Rattus norvegicus: one gene and its partners. The main gene of each other region encodes a partner of the protein of the gene in region 3 in a complex. Links are inferred from orthologs where the notes say so. Each region holds a gene or a part of one and is shown on either strand. Other genes may lie near its edges. The genes, in order: Scnm1, Srrm1, Plrg1, Snip1, Snrpd3, Srrm2 and Cwc27.

What was found.
Region 1: Plrg1 (region 3) and Scnm1 share a complex: the UniProt entries of both Homo sapiens proteins name them as parts of the minor spliceosome. The link is inferred for Rattus norvegicus from reciprocal best matches to the Homo sapiens genes PLRG1 and SCNM1.
Region 2: Plrg1 (region 3) and Srrm1 share a complex: the UniProt entries of both Homo sapiens proteins name them as parts of the minor spliceosome. The link is inferred for Rattus norvegicus from reciprocal best matches to the Homo sapiens genes PLRG1 and SRRM1.
Region 4: Plrg1 (region 3) and Snip1 share a complex: the UniProt entries of both Homo sapiens proteins name them as parts of the minor spliceosome. The link is inferred for Rattus norvegicus from reciprocal best matches to the Homo sapiens genes PLRG1 and SNIP1.
Region 5: Plrg1 (region 3) and Snrpd3 share a complex: the UniProt entries of both Homo sapiens proteins name them as parts of the minor spliceosome. The link is inferred for Rattus norvegicus from reciprocal best matches to the Homo sapiens genes PLRG1 and SNRPD3.
Region 6: Plrg1 (region 3) and Srrm2 share a complex: the UniProt entries of both Homo sapiens proteins name them as parts of the minor spliceosome. The link is inferred for Rattus norvegicus from reciprocal best matches to the Homo sapiens genes PLRG1 and SRRM2.
Region 7: Plrg1 (region 3) and Cwc27 share a complex: the UniProt entries of both Homo sapiens proteins name them as parts of the minor spliceosome. The link is inferred for Rattus norvegicus from reciprocal best matches to the Homo sapiens genes PLRG1 and CWC27.

What each region holds. Positions count from the first base shown.
Region 1 is NC_086020.1:185,391,023-185,395,045, forward strand, and holds the start of Scnm1 (sodium channel modifier 1), read right to left. Parts: upstream 2,801-4,023; 5' UTR 2,690-2,800; coding exon 2,639-2,689; intron 2,587-2,638; exon of another isoform or gene 2,534-2,586; intron 2,421-2,533; coding exon 2,350-2,420; intron 2,088-2,349; coding exon 1,999-2,087; intron 1,903-1,998; coding exon 1,808-1,902; intron 1,704-1,807; coding exon 1,615-1,703; intron 1-1,614. Other genes in the region: Lysmd1 (lysM and putative peptidoglycan-binding domain-containing protein 1), read left to right, coding at 3,601-3,780. UniProt on the Homo sapiens protein: As a component of the minor spliceosome, involved in the splicing of U12-type introns in pre-mRNAs. Plays a role in the regulation of primary cilia length and Hedgehog signaling.
Region 2 is NC_086023.1:152,847,937-152,851,436, forward strand, and holds part of Srrm1 (serine/arginine repetitive matrix protein 1), read right to left. Parts: intron 2,604-3,500; coding exon 2,475-2,603; intron 109-2,474; coding exon 1-108. UniProt on the Homo sapiens protein: Part of pre- and post-splicing multiprotein mRNP complexes. As a component of the minor spliceosome, involved in the splicing of U12-type introns in pre-mRNAs. Involved in numerous pre-mRNA processing events.
Region 3 is NC_086020.1:170,704,736-170,708,987, reverse strand, and holds the start of Plrg1 (pleiotropic regulator 1), read right to left. Parts: upstream 2,801-4,252; 5' UTR 2,708-2,800; coding exon 2,699-2,707; intron 1,710-2,698; coding exon 1,603-1,709; intron 161-1,602; coding exon 18-160; intron 1-17. UniProt on the Homo sapiens protein: Involved in pre-mRNA splicing as component of the spliceosome. Component of the PRP19-CDC5L complex that forms an integral part of the spliceosome and is required for activating pre-mRNA splicing.
Region 4 is NC_086023.1:142,616,028-142,618,514, reverse strand, and holds part of Snip1 (smad nuclear interacting protein 1), read right to left. Parts: intron 953-2,487; coding exon 369-952; intron 1-368. UniProt on the Homo sapiens protein: Required for pre-mRNA splicing as component of the spliceosome. As a component of the minor spliceosome, involved in the splicing of U12-type introns in pre-mRNAs. Down-regulates NF-kappa-B signaling by competing with RELA for CREBBP/EP300 binding.
Region 5 is NC_086038.1:13,131,989-13,134,920, forward strand, and holds part of Snrpd3 (small nuclear ribonucleoprotein Sm D3), read right to left. Parts: intron 515-2,932; coding exon 322-514; intron 1-321. UniProt on the Homo sapiens protein: Plays a role in pre-mRNA splicing as a core component of the spliceosomal U1, U2, U4 and U5 small nuclear ribonucleoproteins (snRNPs), the building blocks of the spliceosome.
Region 6 is NC_086028.1:13,340,559-13,344,058, forward strand, and holds part of Srrm2 (serine/arginine repetitive matrix protein 2), read left to right. Parts: exon of another isoform or gene 1-541; coding exon 542-731; intron 732-3,163; coding exon 3,164-3,500. UniProt on the Homo sapiens protein: Required for pre-mRNA splicing as component of the spliceosome. As a component of the minor spliceosome, involved in the splicing of U12-type introns in pre-mRNAs.
Region 7 is NC_086020.1:37,685,339-37,688,838, reverse strand, and holds part of Cwc27 (spliceosome-associated protein CWC27 homolog), read left to right. Parts: intron 1-1,577; coding exon 1,578-1,657; intron 1,658-2,488; coding exon 2,489-2,522; intron 2,523-3,500. UniProt on the Homo sapiens protein: As part of the spliceosome, plays a role in pre-mRNA splicing. Probable inactive PPIase with no peptidyl-prolyl cis-trans isomerase activity. As a component of the minor spliceosome, involved in the splicing of U12-type introns in pre-mRNAs.

The DNA of each region.
Region 1 (4,023 bases), about 15 Mb from region 3:
TGAGAAAAGCTGGGGCCAGAGAGATGGCTCAATGGTTAAGAGCACTGGCTATTGTTCTTCCAGAGGACCTGGGTTCAATTCCCAGCACCCACATGGCAACACACAAGTATCTTAAACTTCACCTTTGACATCCTCTCACAGACATACATACAGTAAAAACACCAATGCACATAAAATAAAAAATAAAAGGGAAAAAAGGAATTTAAGGAAAAACTAGCTTAATAGTTTGTAATGACTATTCCTGGTTGTCAAGTTGAGAATGTCCGGAATGAACTACAATCCAGAATTGGAGGGCACATCTGTGATCCAGATCTTGAGGTTGGAAGACACAAGTATCTGATCTGGATATTGGCATGGAGATCTTGAGCCACAGTGGCCATGAAAAGCTTAGGCCCAGGCAAGGTAGTACAGGCATTTAATCCCAGGAGACGGGCCAGGAGACCTCTGAGTTCAAGGTCAGCCTGGAACAAAGCAAGTCCCAGATCCAGGAGTGGTGGTCCACACCGTCATCTGAGCCACACCTTCTGTCGGAGGTCTACATAAGGACGTTGGAAGTAGGAAGACTCACTCTTCTTCACCTGCTTGCACTGACTTGCCAGCACATCTGTTGGAATCTACGTCCACAGCAGACCAGCTGAAACAACTAGCCTCATGGGACTGAGCAACTCCTAGGGTCTTGGACTTCCCATCCACAGCTACCCTTTTTTGGGATAGTTGGAATGTAGACTGTAAGTCACCACAATAAATTCCCTCACTATAGAGAGACATTCTATACATTCTGTGACTTTAGAGAACCTGACAAATACAGTTCTAAGTTTTTGTATTAAGACTTTCCAAAGCTAGGCATGGAACTGCTCACCTTCAATCCCAACATTTGAGGAGCAGAGACAGGCAGATCTCTGAATTTAGGCCAGCCTGGTCTAAATAGCAGGGTTCCAGGATAGCCAGGGCAACAAAGAGAGACCCTGTCTCAGTAACAAAGGAACAAAAAAGTGTACTACCATCCACCATTCCCTGCTAATGTTACTAGTTTTTTTTTTTTTTAAAGATTTATTTATTTATTATATATAAGTCTACTGTAGCTGTCTTTAGACACACCAGAAGGGGACATGAGATCTCATTACAGATGGTTGTGAGCCACCATGTGGTTGCTGGAATTTGAACTCAGGACCTCTGGAAGAGCAGTCAGTGTTCTTAACCACTAAGCCATCTCTCCAGCCCCCTCTTTTTATAAAAATGTATTTATTTATGCATTTTTAAATATGAGTGCTTTGTCTGTATGTACATCCTCACACCAGAAGAGGGCATCGGATCCCTTTATGGATGGTTGTGAGCCACTGTGTGGTTGCTGAGAATTGAACTCAGGACCTCTGAAGAGCCCCTTATGTTCCTAAACACTGAGTTCTCTCACCAACCCTTAATGTTACTATTTTTAAGTAGGATTATGCTACAATATTCCATTTCCTAAAGTTTTATTTTAAAATCATTAACTGTCATTAAAAAAAAATTTCCACAAGATTAGTATTTCTCAGAAGACAGTTTGCAGAGTAATAACTTTAAAGTCATCTATTTGCTTCTACCCTTTTCCACTCCTGGCTTTCTCATTCCACTGACCTGTGCTTCCTCCGGCAGCAGCTGTTATAGTGGGGAGCTCTGTGTAGAGCATTCTGGGTGATTATTCGAGTCTGGGTTAGCAAAGGAGCCTGACAATGAGAGAAGAGAGTGAGTCAAAGCTGTCAGAAGCAAATGGCCCCTCATGCCTGTTGCGTGCAGTATAGCCCCGTCTAAACAACACTGATGCCCTCACCTCAGTTTTGCTTTCTGTCTTCAGTTCGTTCTGCGGTCGTGGATTTTGCTCTGTTCCCTTGCCTGACTGCTTTTTTCCATAGAAAAGCTTCAGACCTAGGAAGAAGAAAAGCAAGGGAGAATGAAAAGATTTTGCCAAAATGTCAAGAGTTCATTCTCTATCTCCCGCCCTCCCTACTTCTCTTAACTTACTGGATAGATGCTTCTTGCCTGCACGGTGAGCTGTCAGCATGGCCAGGGTGTCCAGTACTGGTCGATGGGGGCAGATGGCACAAGCAAAGCTAGGGAAACAAGAAAAGTGAATTATAAGTGTGTGTGCGTGTGCGCGTGTGTTTTGTGTTCCAGCCTGCAGTCGCGGTGTACTTGCTATGGTGAGTAGATCCTACTTCTGTCATAGCACTCCTCCAACTCCCAGGTTTCCCAATCTCCACCCCTTCACTTCCAGCCAAAGAATACTATTATACTCCTGAACTCCTTAGTAACAAAAGTTTGTTGAGCCTCTGATCCCCGAATCCCCAGGCTTGATCCACTCTTCGCTCTCACCGTCCATCCCGCAGCATCAGCGCCTCATCCTCGGGGATGTAACTAGCTAGCAAGTCTCCAACTCTTCGTTTCTGCAGGAAGCAGGATAGAAGAAATGAATGAGAGGAACGGATGGATATTAAATAATACAGAGGAGTCAAATGGCACGGGGCCATGCAGATCATAGGGTAGAAAATGGGGTCACCTCTCAGTTCTGGTCCCCTAACACCCTCCCCTAGATGTCGCCAAAGCAACAAACCAAAGCAACAGGGCGGCTGAAGGTGATCAGGTGACTCTCACTAGGGCTTACTTTGAGCACATTGAGCTGACTCCAGTCGTCCCCTTCCCTCTTAAAAGACATCGCGACTATGAGAATATGATAAATTCTACGCCTACTTCGCTGCTCCTTTAGGCCACCGTAGGAAGAGTACACTATCGCCTTCTCTGCTTCCGGTTTCTTTCTGAGTCTGTACTTCCGGGGATGCTTTTCCACGCATGCATCGCGCAAGCCGGAAGACCCGCCTCCAGCGCCCTGAGGGGATCTGTATTTCCTATGATACTGCCTGGACGCTGTGCCTTTTGGGAAATGAAGTCTTTTGGTTATCTATTTTATTTTTTAATTTTTTTGGAGAGAACACCGCTCACCTGGACACAGGTCCTCGCATCTCGAAGGATCCAGGTGTTTGGAGACCCAAGATCCTGTACGTGGAGCCGGAATTTCAGGGTGGGACCCTCCTGAGGTGGAGGGAGGCTTCGGGGGATCTCAGTGGACTCTATATTGCAAACTTGTAGTCCTCAGGCTCGTCCTCCTCAGCCACAACCTACCTGGGGTGGGTTTTATTTGGAACAGAGAGGATGTGGGGGCTCCCGGCGTCCTGACTGTTGGATGTAGGGACACACTGAGGGAAGAGTGTTAATGAGGGTGTCTAGGGTTCAAAGGTCAGAGATCAGGCTTGCGAGGAGTTGGGGAGGGGGCGTCGAAAGTCCACGGGGTCAGCGACTGACAACTCAGGGAAGATATTTATGGGTAAGGGGCTTGAGGAAGAAGAAATGTAACCGGCCTGGAAGACTTCTTAAGATACGAACTGTAATTCCGAGCTCCGTAAGAAGCATCGAGAGGAGGAGGACGAATGTAGTCTCTCGAGAGTCGGGAGACTGAAGAGAAAAGAGAAAAAGAATTTTCTGAATATCCATTCTCTGGGTTCAGCCGTCACTGTTGGTCACTTAGCTGGGCTTTCCTCAGTTGTGACCCTAGATCTTGGAAGTGAGGAGATGGCTTCGCCCTCTAGACAGCCTCCCCTCGGAGGGTCAGGGCTGCTACGTGGGAGCCGTGCTCGTTCTTATGGAAGCCTGGTACAATCATCCTGCTCCCCAGTGAGGGAAAGACGCCTGGAGCATCAATTGGAGCCTGGAGACACCCTGGCTGGATTAGCACTCAAATACGGGGTGACGGTGAGTCTTCCAGGATTGAGGTAGTCCCCAGGAGAAAGTGGGTGGCCCGCTAAGCAACCACCTCTGACATTACCCAAATTATATTATGGCCTGTTTTTTTCTTATTTTGCTTTCACATCTTTGTGTAGTACTATTGGGCCAGATCTGCCCAGCTATCCCAGTGGGAGGAGCAGCTCCCGTGAAGGTGGGTGAGTGGGGGCGGGGCTTTCAGCCATTAACCAGACCTTGTGCCCCTATCAACTT
Region 2 (3,500 bases), on a different chromosome or scaffold from region 3:
GAGGCAGTTCTCCTCTTTGGAGGTGGGGAAGGAGAGTATCTCCTCTGGATGGGAGGAGAGTATCTTCTTGGAGACGGTGAGCGGCGGCGTGGGGGAGGAGAAGGGGTCCTAGAAAAAAAACAACACAGCAATAAAGATGAAATGGACAGTATCCAAAATATTAAAACCGTTGTTGCTATTGCTGCTGCTGCTGTTGTTTGTGCACACCCACATCATGCATGTTAGGGCTGGTTGGGTTAGTGGCAGCAATTCTCCCCACCCACCTTTAGGATTATGGGATCACACTTAGAGCACTACAGTTTGATGGCAAGCACTTTCACCCACTGAGCCATCTTGCTAGTCAATCCAGAATCAGGAAAATTAACTAAAGAGTAACTAGCCATAACTATGCTGTAGGAGATATATTTCAAAGTAATACACACTCCACCATGAGTGACAAGAGGATACTGTGTTGTATTTAATGGAGAAAGTTGAAAATTTCAGAAACAATTAAAATTCATCAAACCAAGAAAATGTATACAATTATATAAAACAAAGTAGTGTTTCACAAGAGAACTTCACACTGTGTGTGGTAACTGTGTTGCCAGGCAATTGGTTAAAGCAAACCAGGCAATCAGGCAAAGCAGACTTGAGTTCTACTGTGACAGGAGCTGGAGAGATGGCCCCCACCCTGCACCCCCCACTTTGGTGTTTTTCAGACAAGAGTTTCTCTGTGTAGTCCTGGCTGTCATGGAACTTGCTCTGTAGACAAGGCTGTCCTCAAACTCAGAGAGGTCTGCCTGCCTGCAGTTGAGCATCTGTGCTGCCATTGCTTGGACAAGGCTCACCTCCAGAGAGCACTTGCTGACCTTGCACAGGGCCTGGCTTGGTGCTGAGCACTCATCCATGTGGTAGCTCACAAAACCTTGTGAATTCAAATTTAAGGGGGATCCAATGCCATTTTCTGGCTTTCATGGTCACCAGGTACACAGCGCACACACAGATATGTAGACAAAGCACTCTACAATAAACAAACTAAGAAGGTTGCATGCAATGGCACTGTTGTCTCCTTTGAACTAGCATCCTAGTTTTTTAGTGAAAAGCTTTCAACAGACTGCCAAGTCTTCTGTCTCAAAGGACCATTTTTAGTGTAAATTCACTGCCAGGCAAAGGTATTTCTTTTTTTTTCGGAGCTGGGGACCGAACCCAGGGCCTTGCGCTTGCCAGGCAAGCGCTCTACCACTGAGCTAAATCCCCAGCCCCGCAAAGGTATTTCTAAAAGCTCGAGCCAGCTTTTCTGTTCAAGGTGACAAAATCCTGTTATGTTCTATAAAAATTACCAAGTAATACAACATTTAGGAAAACTGCACAATTCGTGCTTGGATTTTCAACAAAAATTCCTGTTCAGATCTAGGTTTATAATAAGCCAATCTTCAGGCAAAGTGGTAAAACAGAACTGGATAGTTATTTAATAATTCTGGCTAGGCACAGTGGATCCAATTTGTAATCCCAATAGCTCGGAAGTAGCTCAGCCTCAAATCTGAGGTCTGTCTGCTATATTCACTAAAATTTTATTAAAGGAGAACAACTGCTGCCTAGGAAAAGATAATACCCCACTAACGGAAACAAAGGATCATTCTACAGTGAGTGCTTGCCATCAACCACACACACAAACAAATTTAGGCTGGTTCCAGACCAGGGCTGATCTTTCTGCCTCTGCCTCCTAAGAGCCAAGATTATGTTGGTGTGCTGACACACACAGCACCACATGATGTCATTTTCTGAAGGGCTCTAACCTCTTCCTTCATGGATTATCCTTTTGATTTGGGACTCCCAGCACCTGTCAGACTAGGGTTCTACATGACCAGCAGGAGCATTGATCATCGAGGCTTTGGAGCTGCGCACATTGCAACAGCTCAGTGCAATGGCCAACGTGCACTTAGATGGTTTCCAAAGACTCTTGTACTAAAGAGCTGACATTTCTCACTCCCTCACCCTGGATATCCATCTATTTTCTTCTCCCCTTGTTTGTTTGTTGGGCAAGGTTTAGCTTCTCTATACCCAGGCTGACCTCAAGTCAAAATTTCCCTGCCTCAGCCCTTCAAGAGTTTAGATTCTGAGCATAATACTCTTGGCTCCTATTCATTCTCTCTCTCTCATTCATTCATTCATTCATTCATTCATTCTCATATTCCCTCCTCCCGGCAAATCTCTGCAGGGTTTTTTTGTGTAGCCCTGGCTGTCCTTCCTTGAACTCCCTTTGTAGATCAGGGTGGACTTGAATGCAAAGACCTGCCTGCCTCTGCCTTCTGAGTGCTGGGATCAGAGGTTAGCATCACTGCTGCCCTGACCTATTTTCTGTTTCTACAGAGTTCTGTGACCCATAAAGGAGCTCACACTTATGTGACGCTTTACGACACACAATGCAATGTCTCTCACAAAGCAACTTCTATCACAAAGACCCAGAGTTACCATGAGTCAATTGGACACAGTACCTTCGTCGTGGTGGTGGGGTGGGAGATCTGCGCCGCCGAGGAGGTGGGGGAGGAGGGGGAGGAGGGGCTGGAGAAGGAGATCGTCGTCTTCTGGCAGGAGGTGGGGAAGGACTTCTCCTCCTTCTACTACTAAACAAGAAATTAGAATTATCCTCAGTCGGTGACATTCATAATTTAAATCCCTCCAGGAAGCATATTTCCAGTGGTTAACTAACCCAGAGCATAAACTTATTTATGTTTTGCTTTTGGTATGAGTAAAAGACAGCTTTGTGATGTTAGCTTCAGGCAAAAACACACATTTGGTTATGACATAAACCACCCAACAGAGGGAGGAAAAGAAAATAAAAAAACTGACACTAGAACATTTATTTTAGTTGGGACACAAATAATAATCAGTTGGGAAACTTAGCCGAGATTTTTGTGAACCACTTGAGGGCTAAGTTCAGCCAAGCTGTGTTTTGAAAAGGTTTTTCAATTGACTTTGATTCTTCATGAGAAACACTTTGATGTAACAGACACCAAACTACTTAAGACACCAATCTGGAAGCCCTGGCTTAGAGCGGCCCCTCCTCCACAGCACAGAGACTGAGGGAAGCCCAGAGGGACTGCACACACTAGGTGACTGCTCTATCTCCAACCTTCACACTCTTATCGCTAAGAAAGATAAGTCCCATCACTGAAAACCGACTGGGCATTACACCCACCAATGCCCTAAAGACAAACCACAAACTTGTCTCAAGTACTAGAGCCACTCTGGGAGTAATGTGGTTAAAAGGACATTCAAGAACCAAATACGACAATTCTGAGTTCTACAATAAACCTCCGACACAAGCCACATACCAAGTGCCACATATTAACAAACTAGAAGCAACCTCACAAAAGACTTAAATGACAGTTAAGCCAGTTTGTCACCATTGACAAAGGAGAAAGGAGTCAATGCAAACGGTCCTTGGCTCCTTGTCCAGCCAGCGCTGACACTGTAAGCCCAGCTCAGTTTCTAAAGCTTACCACACTCTTCAGAACCCA
Region 3 (4,252 bases):
AACCTCATGGTTTTCACCTTGATTGGCAGGATACTGCTTATGAGGATATGAATCTGGTGCGTTTTGAGGTCCCTTCTCCTTAAGATTCTCTTTTGAAGTAGGCATATGCAGCACAGGGCCATACTCATTACGAAGCTTGATTGCCATTTTCCGCTTGTGACTATTTAAAAATCATAAACATGAAATGCATCCTTAAATATTAGAAACACATCACCAATGAAAATATTCAGTTAGCAGAACACAAGTACAGAAAGAGATACTGTATTCCAACTCACAGATCCAGGATGTTTTTCAAGTTAACTAGTATTTTAACAAATATGAAATTTCAAAATGTATTTCTATACCATATGTATTTACTTTACCTCACAATCTACCATACAGTAGTCATTTAATCCAAAGCAGGACCATAGTTTGCAGCTGAATAAACACAAAACCTTTTTCAATGAGGTCTCAAGGGTCCAAGTAAATTAAAGACATACATAAACTAATATATCTTTTAAAAAAAACCTTTAAATGTCTGAATATAGTAAAATTTGTATAGACACCTTTATTAGTAATCTAAAAAGTCAGACCCAATGAAAGCACTAAATTAGCTCTGCATTTTAAAGATAAATGTACTTATATTACTTAAAAAGATAATCCACCTTAAAAATTAAATATAAATGCAAATGAGGGGAATTAAGTAGATTATAAAGAAAAAGCAAAGGACAGAGAAAGGCACTGCATACAACACAATCCCAGACTAGGATTGGTGAGAACCAAGAGTATGCCACTTAGAAGTCTTCACTGTACCAAGGAGCACAGATGGGAGAAGAGATACTGGCCAAGAACAATTTCAGCACAACGAGAGTCTGAGAGCAGGAAGCTAAAAGCATGCACAAAGTGATGCACTAGAAATACGATAACGTGACAGGAATGCCCCTAATTACTGGGTACTAGCTACTTTTCTATTGCTGTGGCAAACACCATAATTGAGGTAATTTAGAGAAGAAAGTATTAATTTGGGGGTCATGGTTTAAGAGGCTAGAGTCCTTGACCATCAGAGTAGGGAGCATGAGAGCAGACAGGCAAGCATGGTATTGGAGCAGCAGCTGAGCGCTTACGTCTGATTCACAAGCATGATGTGGGGGTTGTTGGGGGAGGGAGGGAGGTAAGGGAGGAAAGAGGGGGGGAGAAAAGGAGCAATAGATAGGGGAGCTAACTGGGAATGGTGTAGGTTTCTGAAATCTTACAGCTTATCCCCAATGACACACCTCCTCTAACCCTTCCAAAACAGTTCCACCAACAGAGACCAAGCATTTAAATACATGAAACTATGGAGGCCATTCTCTTTCAAATCATCACACTGGGTATCTGTAAACTATAATTAGATTTTTAAAATAGACAAGAGTTATTGTCTGTCTGGCCAGAGCTCAAGAGACAACACACAAAAATAAGCAAAATGAGTTAATGCTATTTGTATTATGATGAAAAGACACTCGCTACTGCCCAAGTATCCTGTGTCTGCATTTTTAAGACCTTTCAAAGTCACCTCCTCTCTGTCACTTTGCGCTCTTCTATCAATATAAAATACTTTAGCAACTGAAAAGGAATAGAACTTACCTCTCTTCATCCAAAGGCACAGGTTTTCCATTATCAGCCACAAACATGTCATGGGTCCTCTTCAATGACCTGAACACTAGTGTGTGCACAGAATGCTTCTGTACCTCCTGTAAAGAGACAATCAAGATCACACATCTAGCTAGAAGAGACCCATACGCTCTAATCAACATTAGATTCATTACGCACTTTACATGCTAAATACATAAAGGCTAACACTCCTCAGTAACTGTGACAAACTACAGCAGCCAACAACAAAGATGAGAAAGCTCCTGTCTGGTCAGAGTTCAAGAGACAACACACAAAAATAAGCAAAATAATTCCACATTTTGGAGGGTTCGATGGGGTGACTCAGAGGGGAAAAAAGAATTGCTAGATATAATCAAGAAAGGTTCTCTCTGGTGACAGGTAAGCAGAGAGGGAGACAGCCTTACAAAGAATAGAGGTTCAAACAGTGCAAGCTCTGGGAGATGCCACTGCGAAGACGTTCATATAATTCAGAACTGCAGCAGTTGTGAATGCTGCGGGAGTGTGGGTTCCGAAGGTCGGTGGGGTTTAGGCCTCTGCCATCACCAACATTTAACACTGGGACAGAAAGCAGCACTGAACTACATTCCTTCAATGTGTTCGTTAATCGTAAGCACTTGGAAGCTATAGAATTCGTCCAGGCAAAAGATGTTGGGCTAGATTAGGAGGACTGCAGTGGATCTGGAACGCAGTGGGTGGGAATAAGAAACGTTTGGGATACGCAAGAACAAACAAAATCAAGCACGGCAAGCTTTAATGGGGTAGAGATGAAATAACTGTGAAACTGACAAGACAGCACGGACTAGCATCCCAGCCAAGGTGGGAGCATCAGAAGCCCCGCCTCCCAGGAAAGGGCCAGATGCCAACAACACACCGACTGCAAGATTCCTTCAGGCTTCCCGCCGACTGAACCTCGGATTCGGGATGTCATCGGCCTTCCTCCCACCCCGACAGCCCAAGACCACCAGTTTTGGCTACAGTTCGCTTCCCCAGATTCCCAGTACTTTCATCCTACTTCCGTGGGCAAAGCTCCAAAGACAAACGACTCCCGAGTGCCCGAGCGTTACTTTACCTCCACCATGTCGCCGCCGTTTAGTCTACCCGTTCAGCAGCGAAGAAACTCCAAATGCTCGACGCAGAAATCGCCGCCACTATTCTGCCGCTCCTTCCGGAGATTGGGGCCTGTCGCCGGACGTGACGCCAACCGCGCATGCGTATTGGCAACCCGCCGCGCAGGGGTCGAGGGGTGGAGTCTAGCGGTGGAGGGCGGAAGCTAGGCGGAGTTGCGCGGAGACTCGTGGCGAAGAGTAGGATCTAGGCAGCTGCTGGGCGGGACTGGGCGGGGTTTGGGGCGGGGAGGGGCGGGTCTCGGCGGAACTGGGCGGAGTCCCCTGGCTGAGGGCGGAGCTTCCAGCCGGAGCGAAGGGAGCGCGGGCCTTAAAGCCCTGTTTAGGGGAGGTACTTGTTTCCGGAAGCTAAGTGCTGCTTAGAGATTCTAAGCAAGCCGTTTTTCAGAAACCATTGGGAACTTAAGTTGTTTTTACTTTATTTGACCTGATGCTAAACTGTTGACGTTTTGTGTTTCACCCAGATAAAATCTGTGGCTTACGTTCGATCGTTTCCAAGTGTTTTCTATATTGATGTAGTTGCTATTTGTGATCTTAAATAAGGCATTTTCACTGATTGTGCATCTTCCTGAACTGTGATTAAGTTCAATGATCCCGTCCTCAGAGAGTACTGCGAATACTTTGAGAAGGGTGAAAATGTAGCGCAGGTATAGCAATGTGAGCCAGTGCTCTCATTCAAATTCAAATATTTTAATTCATAATTATTCACTCAAATTCAAATATTTTAATTCATGAAAACATGAAGGTCGCATTTTTAGCCTGAAAACAGTCATTTCCGTCCTTTTAGTTTGAGCCTTAACTCCTGAGCCGTCTTTGTAGCTAGCCCACAAGTAGGCATTTCTAAATTTAAATGTGAGTTTAGTCAAAGGATCTTATTTTCTGTAAAAGTGGTCAACGTTTGTATACTTTGCAAGAAAATATTAATAACCTAGAAAAGAACATTTTAAATCACAAAACACTAAGGAAATGTTAGAAAGACCTTAACATATCTATGTTAATATGACTACTAGACAGCTCTCATTAAACTTGTTAGATAGTCATCCTGAACACAACTTATGGACAAGGCTCACAACAGCCATCTTAGAGGTAACCACACTAGGTTTTGCTTTTCTTATAACTCTCGAATTATGTCACCCATGTGAAAATTACCTTCTTGGCTTAATAAGGACCTTAAGTGACCCTATTATCTAGTTATGAGATCCATAAATCACATATATCGTAGGCAGATTTCTTGTTCACATAGGAACCTGTGTTCTTCTTGTTTGCTATGGCCTCCCTCCTCCTATTTCCTTGTTTTTGAAGAGATCCAGGATCTTTGGCTGGTTAAGAATTCTAGCCCAGAGGTGTTGGCACATGCCTTTAATCCCAGTACTGGCAGAGGTAGTCTGATTTCTGCGTTCCAGGACAGCTGGGACCAGAACTACGCAGAGGAAAAAACAAAAGAACAAACAAAAAGAGTAAGATGGACATATCTTTAAAAATAAAACCCTGTGCTGGCT
Region 4 (2,487 bases), on a different chromosome or scaffold from region 3:
TTTTTAATTTCTCTTTCTTCCTATCATTTATTTGTTTGTTTAGAGATGGGGTCATGGAACATAACCCACACCTAGAGGAGGATATACACCACCAATCCTGCTTAGCCTCCCGAGAGCCAGGATTACAGGTCTACACTGCCACACAATGGTAGGCTAATATCTGGATTTCTGACATCACACTCAAGCCGCTCATACAAATGTCCGGAGATCACCCACAGGTTGTTAAGACTTACAGTACTCCTTCAGTCCAGCTCACTGGACCAGGGGTAATGGGTTCAGCAGCATTTCCACACAGCCAGTCAGCCTTAGGAAAGCTAAGTGAGATGTTCACCCATCTCCCTTTCCAGTCCTCCCTCTGGTCTACCTACCGGTACTGGAAGACTGCATGTTGCTTTGAGCAAGAGGGATGGTCGATAGGAATGTCCGCGATGCGGCGATGTCTCCCCAGCAGGTACGCACTCTGCCGATGGATGTACATGACTGGAAGCACCTCATCATTTTTAAAGGGGTAGAGACGCCACCGTTTTTTGGGGATGCGGGCTTCTGGGGGCTCACTGTATTTAATGACCACACCCCGGAAGGTATTAGTGTCCTCAAGAAGTGCCCCAGAAAGTTCAAAGCTTGGTTTTTCTTTAACAGGCACCTCTTTGTTCTTGTTACCAGCAGGGCGAGGGATCACCTCCTGAGCCTCAGCGCCAGCACTCTCATTCTGCTGGCGGTGCTCCCGGCGCCTGGCATTATTAAAGTCCCTCTCTTCTTCCTGGGCCTGCAGGATCTGGCTGTCTCTATCCCGACCCTGCCCACTGACAGGCCTCTCATCAGAGCTCCTCCTTTGGCGGGCATGGCCCCGGTGCCGATCTCGCTCGCTGTTCCGTGCTCTCCTGTGCTCCTGTTCTGATAACTCCCGGTGCTGCCTATCCTCTCGTCCTCTCCGTGGATGGTCCTCCCGTTCCTGAAATTCAGATGGGATTCAGTAAGGGAAAGATAGCATCCCTTTCTCTGTGAACAAGCTGCAGGAACTGGAGAGATAGTTCAGCAATTAAGAGCACTGACTGCTCTTCCAGAGGACCCATGTTTACTTCCCAACACCCACAAAGCTGTTCACAACCATCTACAACTACAGTTCCAAGAGAATCCAATGCCCTCTTGTGGTAAGTGTGGGCACTACATTATGTGGTGTACAGACATGCATATGCTAAACAATTTCAAACAACAACAGCACATCTGTGGCCTGGATTCAGAACAAATTCCTATCCACACAAGGCTATCAGTGTGGTTCTTTCCCCTGAAGGGCCTTTAGACTTCATATTCCATACTCTTCCTCAAACCCACATCCAGACCCTACCACAAGGAGAAATACCTCTCTCAATCACCTGCAGGCAAACTCACAGGGTAGCAGGTATAGAAAACAGAACAGTCACATGTAAGATATATAAAGGGAAAAGTTAACTTCCTCACAGGCCAAAAGGAGATTGAAATAATCTCAAAAGGTTCAACTTCAGCAATTACAGAAATGATTCAAACATCTATGGATAAACCTAAGAAACACGAACACTTCAAGAAACCTACAAGAAAGTACTACTTGGCAGTTTCCAAATTTCTAACAAAATGGAGGCACATACTGAAAATCAACGTCGCACAAACAGCAATACACAGTCAGTAGATCAATGAGCACAGTGGCGCACACCTTTAATCCCAGTACTCAGGAGGCGGAGGCAGAGCTCTTTGAGTTTGAGGCCAGCCTTGTGTACAGAGTTAGCCAGGGCTACACAGAGACCTTGTTTTGTAAAACAGCAGCAATAGATGGATAAGAAGTCAGTCAGTAAGGTGACAGCTCCAAGTGCAAAGCAGTTTCCAGAAGAAGCCAACACTTAGCCTGACTCTGAAGGGGAGCTTCTTCTAATAACCACAGTACCAATGCTAACAGAAGTAGGAATTCTCTCAGATTAGCAATTCCTGTCAAGAGAGAAGGGACTGCACACCTCTAATCCCAGCCCTCAGGAGTCAGAGGTGGGTGGGTCTCTAGAAGTTAAGAGAATGAGAATGAGACCCTGTCTCCAAAGGGACACACAGGCTTGCATGCACTCCTCTGGTGGAGTTCAGTTGATGGTACACCTTTAATATCAGCACTCAGGAGACTGAGGCAGGAGAATCATCAAGAGTTCTAGGCCTGCCTGTGCTACCAAGCAAGTTTCAGGCTAACTGGGCCTAATTAGCAGGAGATACCCTGTCTCAACTACAAAATCATGCTTTTCCCCCCTGGTTTATTAAGCAAGTCATCAGGATTCAGACATTTTGTAGCACGTGTCAGAATTTTCTTCCTTTTAAGGCTAATATTCCATCAATATGCATACACACATAATGGTAATGGGACTAGGATGCGGGGCTGGAAACAAGCACTTACTCTAAATTTTATCCCCAGCCCTTTTTACTTTTTTTTTTTTTTTTTTTTCCGGAGCTGGGGACCAAACCCAGGGCCTTGCGCTT
Region 5 (2,932 bases), on a different chromosome or scaffold from region 3:
ATGCTGTGTGTGTAGCTCAGGCTGGCCTCCCACTCACTCCATGTCTTCTGCCTCAGCCTCTTAAGTGCCGGGATTACAGGTATGAGGCACCACACCTTGCTTGAGATTTGGGATTTTATACTAAACTCTGTGATGGGACTGAGTAAGACAAAAAAGCTAACAGGGAACAAACAGTTCCATTCCCAAGGATTTCTCAAGCCTGGGGACGATCAGGACAGGATTAGCAGCAAGTGTGAAGAATGGTGCCATCAGACTCACCCTTTCCCCTAAAAGAAACAAGGTACGTAGTAATTCTAAAGCCAGCCGAGGGAAGGTACCTACCTTGGGCCTTCAGGATAGCAGCTTTTCCTCGGCCAGCCCCTGAGCCTTGGTTTTTATTTTTCATGCTCTTTAACATGGGTGCATTTTTCAGCATGTCAGGCAAAATCAGAAACCGGATCTTGCTGCCACGTATGTACACCTGTTCCAGCTGTGCCACTCGGCCGTCTCTGTATGTGACTGTGATGTTGGACATCTGGAAGGGAATCACCATTTTATTTGCAAGGTCAAAGCATTGGAGCACACAAAGCCAGCGAGCCTTAACTGGAGAAGTTTAGAAACACAGAAGCCCACACCAGCAGGAAGGAGTAGACAATGCTGTAAACTACCCTAGCAATGGCTGGCACCTTCTGTAGGCGTTAGGGACTGCACACTTCACACAAACGGCAGATGAAGTATGGGCTCTCCCATTTTATAGACTACAATCAAACAAACCCAGGATAGACCACTGACACGCTGCAGCTCAGACACAGAGCCCCAGCTTGCATCCGCCTGGGCCAGGTTGTTGAGTGACAGGTGTGCAGCCTCCTGGACCTGCTGGCACTCCAGCTGGAAAGGCACCTTCAGGGTCATCATAGGCAGCAGACATAGTTCTGACTCAGCACACATCAGGAAGACAGATGACTAGACAGGACTGAGGAGTGACAGGCAGTGCCTGCTCCCAGTCTGCACAAGGAGAGGAAGACCTGGGCAGGAGCTTTTGGCATGCGTGCACTGAAGCAGCACATCTGGCAGTCCTGAGCACACCTCAGAGAACGGCAGACCACTCAAGTCTGTGGAAGGAGAAATGCTCAACAGGCAGTATTTTGGGAGGACAAATGTGCCCACGTGTGTTGCGTAGGATGAAGGAAGGAGGGATCTCTGAGTCCAGTCAGGAGACCCACAGGGAACAGGACAGTGACATAATCCTGCCAGCACCAAATCCAGCCACGCCATGTTTACCATAATTGCCGAATTGCTATCGGGTAGGCAGAAAGGAGTAGACTTTATCTAGAGTGGGTGAAGCCCATGCTGCAAGGATGTGCTGGCTCCCAGATTCCTTCCTTATGAGATTTAAATCATGGGTAGTCTTACTGTACATTGGACATATTTCCCTACCTGCTTCCCCTCCCCTTTCTTTTCTTACCTCTTCTCCCCACTGTTAGCCCCTTATTCTCCAATAACTCAACTTCTACTTTCATTTTCTATATACACACATAATTTTATGAGTATAAAACCTAGGAACCACATATGAGAGAAAACAGCTATCTTTCTAAGACTGGATTAATCTGCTTAAAGATCATCTTCAGAGGCACCGTCTCCCAGGACCGGCTTCTATGCTGCTGCCTTTGCTCCTTCTAAAGGACCAGGTGGTTTCTGGTTGAACATGAAAACCAAAACCAAAATCCATCAACGCTCTGAGGCTGTCCCATTTTATCTGAGCAATGGGAATGGTGTCTAGGATTGCAAACCACCATTCCTGTTCTACATTCAAGGTCAAGAGGGCCCAGTTTCCCACCAACCAATTGCAGGCTTAAAAATTCTATCGCCAGCTCCTTGAGTCTCGGTTTCTGAGTCCTCGCCGCAGTGCCCGGGACAGGTACAGAATCTCTGCTACCACAAATAAGCAGCTATGGATTCGCTTCCTTACCCAACTGGAACCAGATTCCCCCATCCCATCCCCCAATTTCAGGCGTGTTTGTGACTCTGTAGAAGACACCGAGGTAGCATGAGGACCTCCACTGAGACCTGGGCTTGACACCTTCCAGATGTAACCCTGAGCACATCTTCAGAATGTTCTGAGTCCCAGCTCCCCACCTAGCGGAATCACAGCATAACGACAGCCAGTGTTTACTGGGTACGAATGTCAACAGCAGGCACTGCCCCAAATGGCTGAGTTTATACCATCAAACCCTACAGGAGGCACGGCCTGTCAGAGGCAGATCTATGCTGAAGGTCCACGCCTTTTCTCATCCTGTCCTCCTGCACAAAAATCACACTGTCTTCATGTGTTCTGTAAGTTCAAACCCAGGTCTATCTGACTCTGAACTACTTACTCCCTATCTTGAAGTGGAATATACTTTACTGGGGCTGTTAAAAAACAAAATTAAACAGGGCAAAGCATGTCTAAATGTTGTCTCGACTACCTAAGATATAACAAACCCAGTAATGTCTGATCTGAGTTACAAAGTCTATTTTTGAGATGTACAATTATTGTCTTATTTCCCACTCAGCATCTCCCCACTTGCCTTGAAAATCTCCACAAGGCTGTCATACAGATCCAACCAGACTTAAACTAGGTGCTTCTACTAATGTCCTATGTTGGGTTCTCAATGTCATCTGACAAACAATCCAGCAGCAAACTGTTACTGTTCTAATGCACTCCTGTCTGCTACTGGAGAAATGGTAACTCAGTCCCAGGGAAGGCCCGGTGTTGGCATCATAAAGCCAAAGGCATCATCTGTAAGCAATGTATTTATCTTAACTGCATCTAAAATACTTAAAGATTTATTTTATTTAAGTGTAGAGTGTGTGTGACTGCAGAAGCTGGAGACAGTGGGGCTAAGATCCCCTGAGTGCTAGGAACCCAACCCTGGTCCTCTGGGAAAGCAGCAAGTGCTTTAACTGCTGAGCC
Region 6 (3,500 bases), on a different chromosome or scaffold from region 3:
CAGACATATACATTTCCCCTTGTCTTTTTTATTTTATTTTATTTTTATTTTTGTTTGTTATGATGTATATGGACTACCAGAATAGGGCGGGGGTGGTTTGGTGGTGTCTGGGGGAGGAAGGAGTCCTTACCCTGGCTTCCTTAATCGGGGAAGGCTTCCTGAAGGAGGTGGGCTCAGAGGTGAGTTATGAATGAAGTGGGTAGGGAAGGGCCTGGGTGGAGGGTTTGGGTATGTTGGAGGGTGGGGAATAATGGGGTAGAGGGACTTAAATTATTTGGGATTATATTGGGAAGAGATAGAACAACAAAAGAGGACTCATTTGCATCTTTGAAAATGAATTTTCATGTGACAAAAAAGGTTTTTTGTTTGTTTTGTTGGTTTTTTGTTTTGCTTTTTGTGTTTTTTGTTTTCATTTGTTTTTTGTTTTTGGAAAGAAGGTTTTACATATAGGAAAGTGGATTGCCAGCTGGGGGTGGAGGGGGTTTTCTGTTCTTCCTTGAGCTGATTTTCCTGGTCTCCCCTGCCCTTCATTAACTCACAGGTCTCGAAGTGCTGCTGCTAAAATTCATACAACATCCTTGACTGGGCAAAGTCCTCCCCTTGCTTCAGGGCATCAAGGGGAGGTAGATGCACCTAGTGAACCAGGTGCCACCAACATACAACAGCCTAGTAGCCCAGATCCCTCTACAAAGCAATCTAGCAGTCCTTATGAAGACAAAGATAAGAAGGAGGTATGTTCTGAGTTCGTTGGGTTGCAGGGTTTTACTCAGGGTTGCACCTTAAATGGGCAAGTGTTGTAAATAGTGTAGAGTAGCTTATTAAGAAGAAATCTTATCCTTTAGATTGTGGTCAGGTTCAGAGATCAAGGTTGGCAAGCAGCTATAGAAGGCAGTAAGTGTGTGTGTGAGTGGGTTGGGTGGTGGTTTCAGAGAAGCATACCGATAATATAAGCAAATATGAAGATTTTTGGACAGTTTTCAAAGAAGATAGAATGAGAGAAAGGAGAATTCTCTGGGTTAGAACTCAGCAATGTGGATAAGTTTAGTGGTGCATGATGTCCATCTGTAAATATTCTATAAACAACTGCTGAGAAATATTTGATTCCTCATTCAGTTACCAAGTCCTTTTACATACCTGCAAGTACTTAAGAGGACCTACTAAATTGTGAAGTCTTCAGAAAAACTTCAGTGGATATTAGTAGGTTTTATATCAGTAATTTGTTTATATTCATACAGCGATACAAAAGGTTTTATTTTTTTTTGAAACCAGAACATTTATTTTATGACTATTAAAATCCTTAAGATGAACTGGATGCTACAACAGCTAAAGTGGCCCTCTTGGGTTGATGTGTTATTCCTTCTAGGAATCCATGTCTGAATCTATGACAGTTTTAGGCACGGTAGTGCTTTGTCTCTAATTCTTGAATCCAGTTAAACTTCCTCTTGCACTTGGCAGAGTAGCCACATTTGCCACGGGTCAACTTCTGAAGGTGGTGGTATGCGCCTTACAGCTACAGGAGCGGCACAATGTGTTTGTCTAATTGTGACACTCTATAAAGGATGATGTTTTCTTTTGTTATCTTGCCTCTGCCCAACAAAAGATTTTTTTAAAAATATTTTAACTTTATTAAAGTATATATTTCCTTTTTTATGCTTGTCATCAGTTATTAAATTTTTCAATCCTTAGACATGTTGCCACCAACATAAAAACATGAAGGAATTATCTTTTTAGTAGTTCCTGTTTTATATCTTCTAGATCTGTGGCTGATTGTTTCTACTAGATTCAGTAATTAGTGTAACTTAATATCTCCCATGTTGTGGCTTATTTAAAGATAAGTTACAAGTTGATCATTTCAGAAAACTTAGCTGCTTGCTATAATGCTTTGGTGTTTTCTGTAATTAAGGTGGTTTTATGGTTTGGCCTTATTTGTGTAAGACCTTAGTAAATTAATTTTTGTGTGTATGTATGAAGGGAAGGCGTATGTTATGTGTGCTTGGAGGTCAGAGGACTTATGTATGTGTTCTGTGGATTGAACTCTGGTTAGCAGGCTTATGTTGCAAGTGCCATCTCATTGGCTGTTGGTCAGTATTTTTGTTTTTGAGACAGGGTCTTACACAGGCCCTGGCTGTGCTGCAATTCACTACATAGTTCAGGCTGGCCTTGAAATCACAGAGTTCCACCTGCCTCTGCCTCCGGAGTACTGGAATTAAATGCATATATATGGTCATGCCAGGCCCCTCTTGGAAAATTTTGACATAAACCATACTCTTTAAAACCTTGTGCCCATTTCTGATATTTTAACTTAAGTCAGTCCCCATATTCAGGTATAAAGTTATTGTCACCCAAGGTGCTTTCTCTTTTTGTTTAATTATATCTTTTTTGGGTGGTGTGGTAGTATTCATTTGTAACCCACACATACTGCCAGACTCCTTCCCTTGAAAAGGAAAAAGCGGGGCTGGGGATTTAGCTCAGTGGTAGAGCGCTTACCTAGGAAGCGCAAGGCCCTGGGTTCGGTCCCCAGCTCCGAAAAAAAGAACCAAAAAAAAAAAAAAAAAAAAAAAAGAAAAGGAAAAAGCATGCAATGGAGAGGATTTATCTGATGAATTCAAAACACTCATCAAAAGATATTGACTAAATTTAAGAGAACAGTGCACAGAGTGAAAAAAAATTAACAAGGAAGATAATAAAAAACTGGGAAATGACTCAGGCGAGTAATTGGTATGCAAGTATGAGGCCTGGTGTCTCATCTGTAATCCCAGCATGCAAAATGGAGACAGGGCTATCTGTCTATAAGGCATATAATCAGGTTTTGCCCCCTGCTACCTTATTTTCTCATTGTAAAAAAATGCATTTATTTGTGTGTGTGTGCGCGCGCGTGCACATGACAGGTGCACATGTACGGGTTATTGAACAACTTTGAAGAGTAAGTTTTTCTCTTTGCCACTAAATGGGCCCAATGGTTTGTAGCCAACTAAGCTATCTTACGGACTCTTTATTAAGCATTGCATGTTATCTTGTTACTGAGTGCAACTATGGGTAGGGAAAGTCAGTATGGTATAAGAGGTATGTAGAGTAAATTTTTATTAGAAACTGTTCATATCTTACGGGTAATAATGAAGTTTTGGTGTTTTATTACTATTCCCACTTTTCTTTTCACTCTTAGAAATCTGCAGTTCGACCTAGCCCCTCTCCGGAAAGGAGCAGCACAGGGCCAGAACTACCTGCCCCCACTCCGCTCCTTGTTGAGCAACATGGCGACTCCCCACGACCCCTTGCAGCAATCCCGTCCAGTCAGGAGCCAGTTAACCCCTCATCTGAGGCTTCCCCAACCCGGGGCTGTTCACCACCTAAGTCTCCTGAGAAACCTCCCCAGTCATCTTCCTCAGAGAGCTGCCCACCATCCCCTCAACCTACCAAACTTTCTCGGCATGCCAGCTCTTCTCCTGAAAGTCTTAAACCCACACCAGCTCCTGGGTCCCGTCGAGAGATTTCTTCTTCAC
Region 7 (3,500 bases), about 130 Mb from region 3:
GCTGTAGTGGGAAGGGGTGTATGTTTAAGTCTGCTTTTGACCTTCTGTCTTCGTGCTAACTTAATTTGAAAGGTTAAGGAAAACCTAGAGTGGGGATGATTAATTCAGCTTAACTTACAAATTCTTCCTGTTTTCATGTCTTACTTCTTTTTTCTTTTAGCTGTTTAAAGTGAGTTTTCATTGAGAGCTCAACAAGGACTTCTTTTCTTTTTCCTCCTCCTCCTTTTTTTTTTTTTTTTTTTGGGTCCTTTTTTTAATTTTAACTTTTAGACAGTGCCTTGCTAAATAGCCCCAACTAGCCTCAGATATGCAATCTTCCTGTTTTGGTCTTGAAGGTTAGTATTACAGCATGTAACACTGGGAAGAACTTTCTTTTTTAAAAAGTAATATATTTAAACTGGCATATAAAATTATATATATAGTGTACAACCTATGTAAATACAGTAGAATGTCTGAGTTAAGCTAATTAACATACACCCACTTCACAAACCACATGCACGCTGTCGCTGTCGTAAGAGCGTTTGACATCTTTCTGTAGGGCTGGAGAGATGGCCCAGAGGTTGAGAGCACTGGTTCAGAGGACTCAGCTTCGGCTCCCAGCAGCCACATGGCAGTTCACAGCTGTCTGTCACTCTGGTTCCAGGAGATCTGTTCTGACCTTGAGGGATCCAGGCTGTGGTACACAAACATACAAACAGGCAAAACATTGATATACGTAAAATAAATAATTAAAAACATAAATAAATAAAATCTCTGTGATTTCTCAGGAGCACAAGAATTCATCTTTATAAATTTAGCATTATTAATAAATAACATGCACCTGCAGTGGACCTTAGTTACAACCTTGTTCCCACTATTTGTCAGTGTAATTTTCATTGTCTGTCTTGTCAGTGAAGAGGTTGACACAGAGGGTCAGAGGCTAACTTTGGATGTGGTGTATTACTGTATATTAAAGGGTGGTAGTATGCATTTGTCTCAATTTATTCTTGTTTTTATCCGTGGGTTGTCGAAGTTAATCAGTTGTATGTGAACCATAGGTACTCAGAGCTGGTGAGCCACTGACTTCTTTTTTTTTTTTTTTTGGTTCTTTTTTTTGGAGCTGGGGACCGAACCCCGGGCCTTGCGCTTCCTAGGTAAGCGCTCTACCACTGAGCTAAATCCCCAGCCCCAAGCCACTGACTTCTTTTTGACAGTGTCACTTATTCTGGGGAGATGATCCTAAAAGAGTGTTTAGATCCATGAGTGGTGCTGCACACTTAGAATCCCATTGCAAGATGCTGACAGAGAAAGATCATGAGCTCTAGGTCAGTCTGCCCTGCAGAGAAGACTCAAGGCCATCTTAGGCTAGAACTAGATGGAGAGACTGTGCCTTATAAAACAAACAAATAAGTAAAACTTAATTAACATAAATAAGTAAAAATCCTATGTTCAGTTGATAGAAGGATTATATTCATAAACTCATCCTTTACTAAGCATACTATGTCCCCACCTAATTTCATGTGAATTTGTTAACTTATCTTTTCGGAAGACCTTTCATTTCCTACTCTCAGCTCTATTGTTTGTCCCTTCCTTCCCAGAGCATGAAGGGGAGAAGTAAAAGCAGCCATGACCTGCTGAAGGACGATCCGCATCTCAGCTCTGTCCCGGCCGTCGAAAGGTCAGTGCAGTGCAGCCATGACCTGACTTCCTGCTATTAGGCTTCTTCTCATTCACTTGGTTCGTTAAAAATCAGAGCTCATAACTTACATTTCTTAAGCCCAGCCAAAGCAATAATACATTTTGATAAGTGATTAATCACAGGCTAGTCTGATTACTGGAAACTCCGTTGTAATATATCATGTTTAGTTCCATATTGCTGTGCTAACTGTCTTCGGAGTTGTTTTGTTTGGTATCATGACTGACCATGAGAGTATAAGGTTACTGGAAGACGTTACCACATTCTGGGCTCATCTGCTGTGTACAAATTCTCACAACTTTCAGACTTGACAGCAATCTGTCTTAATTGTCTTCGTTGCCTTTGTTTGAGAGGTGGGAGGTGAATTGGTATTAAATATATTCATTACAACAAAATATTGGCCCATGTCTCACACAGAGATAAAATACTGTTGTACTGAGGTTAATTCATCTTTAAAAATCGTATTTTAAAATATCCTTTAATTTGTAGGACTTGGTCTCTTTAGCCAGCATCTTTTAAGCTATAGAAAAGATGTTTTCTGTAGATTGAATAGTCTTGTTAGTGGTTATTTGAATTAAAAAAAAAATTGAAGGAATTCTTGTATCTACTAGTAGAGCAGCATATTTCTTCCTCTGTTTATAAAAGGTGGCTCCATTCGAGCATGTTCCCATCTGCTTTACAATGCCACTCAGAGAATGCTGTGGTGAAAAAAAATCATTAATTTCAGAAAACTAGTTTACACTTTAGATAATTAAATCCTTTTATTAGTTTCATGTTGAAGCTAAAATGTATTTGTTTTACTTATTTTTGTAGTGAAAAAGATGATGCAACAGGAGATTTAGAAGATGTGAGTATTCATTTTAGTATAAATACAGCTTGAACAAGTTACAAATAGGTCAGAGTTCTACAAACAAATTACTATTTTAAGCAAAACATATAATATAATTGCAATTTTTTAAATGAAAATAATTTCTCTTACTATCAGAATATTTACTTCTAAATAGATTTGTATATTTCCCTACAGAATTGCAATCTTACATGTGAATTTCTGCTTTGCCTTTTCTGTCTGTCACATGACCTAAGCTCAAATGCAATAACTTGATTTTGTTAAAGGTTTAGATGTGATCAGTGAGCATCCTGTGTGCATATGGGAAGTTCATAGAGGAGATGTTTATAACAGTGCACTCCTTTTTTACACATGCTTCAGAAGAGCCTCTTTTAAGGCTGTACCTTTATTACTAGCTAGCAATGTTGGGAGCAGAAGGAAAGGCCAGTGAGATAGCTCAGTAGTAAAGGTGCTTGCTCTGGAGCCCAAGGACAGGAGCTCAGTTTCCCTGCCCACAGAGAAGGAGAGTCAAGCTGTGGCAAGTATGCACTTATGTACACACACACACACACACACACACACACTCACACACTCACATACACACACACACACATACACACTCACACACACACACTCACACACTCACATACACACACATACACACTCACACACACACACACACTCACACACACACATACACACTAAATAAATGTAGAAATAATGTTTTGTAGGCTGTGTAAAGTTTACCCTTATGTTATCCAAATGCTGATTTCTCTGCCCACACATCTTGTTTCAACTCGGACACAGCATTGTGATGCTTATACCGAGAATTCCCTGTCTCAAGCTTGTGTAAACAGTTCTTACCATTTACTACATGAATGGATGCTGATCACCCAAGGGTGGGGCAGCATAGAGCGTGGGGTGGGATATCCACAAGCTATCTTCTAGGGAGAGGAAGATTCAAATGTGTCTGAAGGAGAGAGGAGTTGGAACCATTTG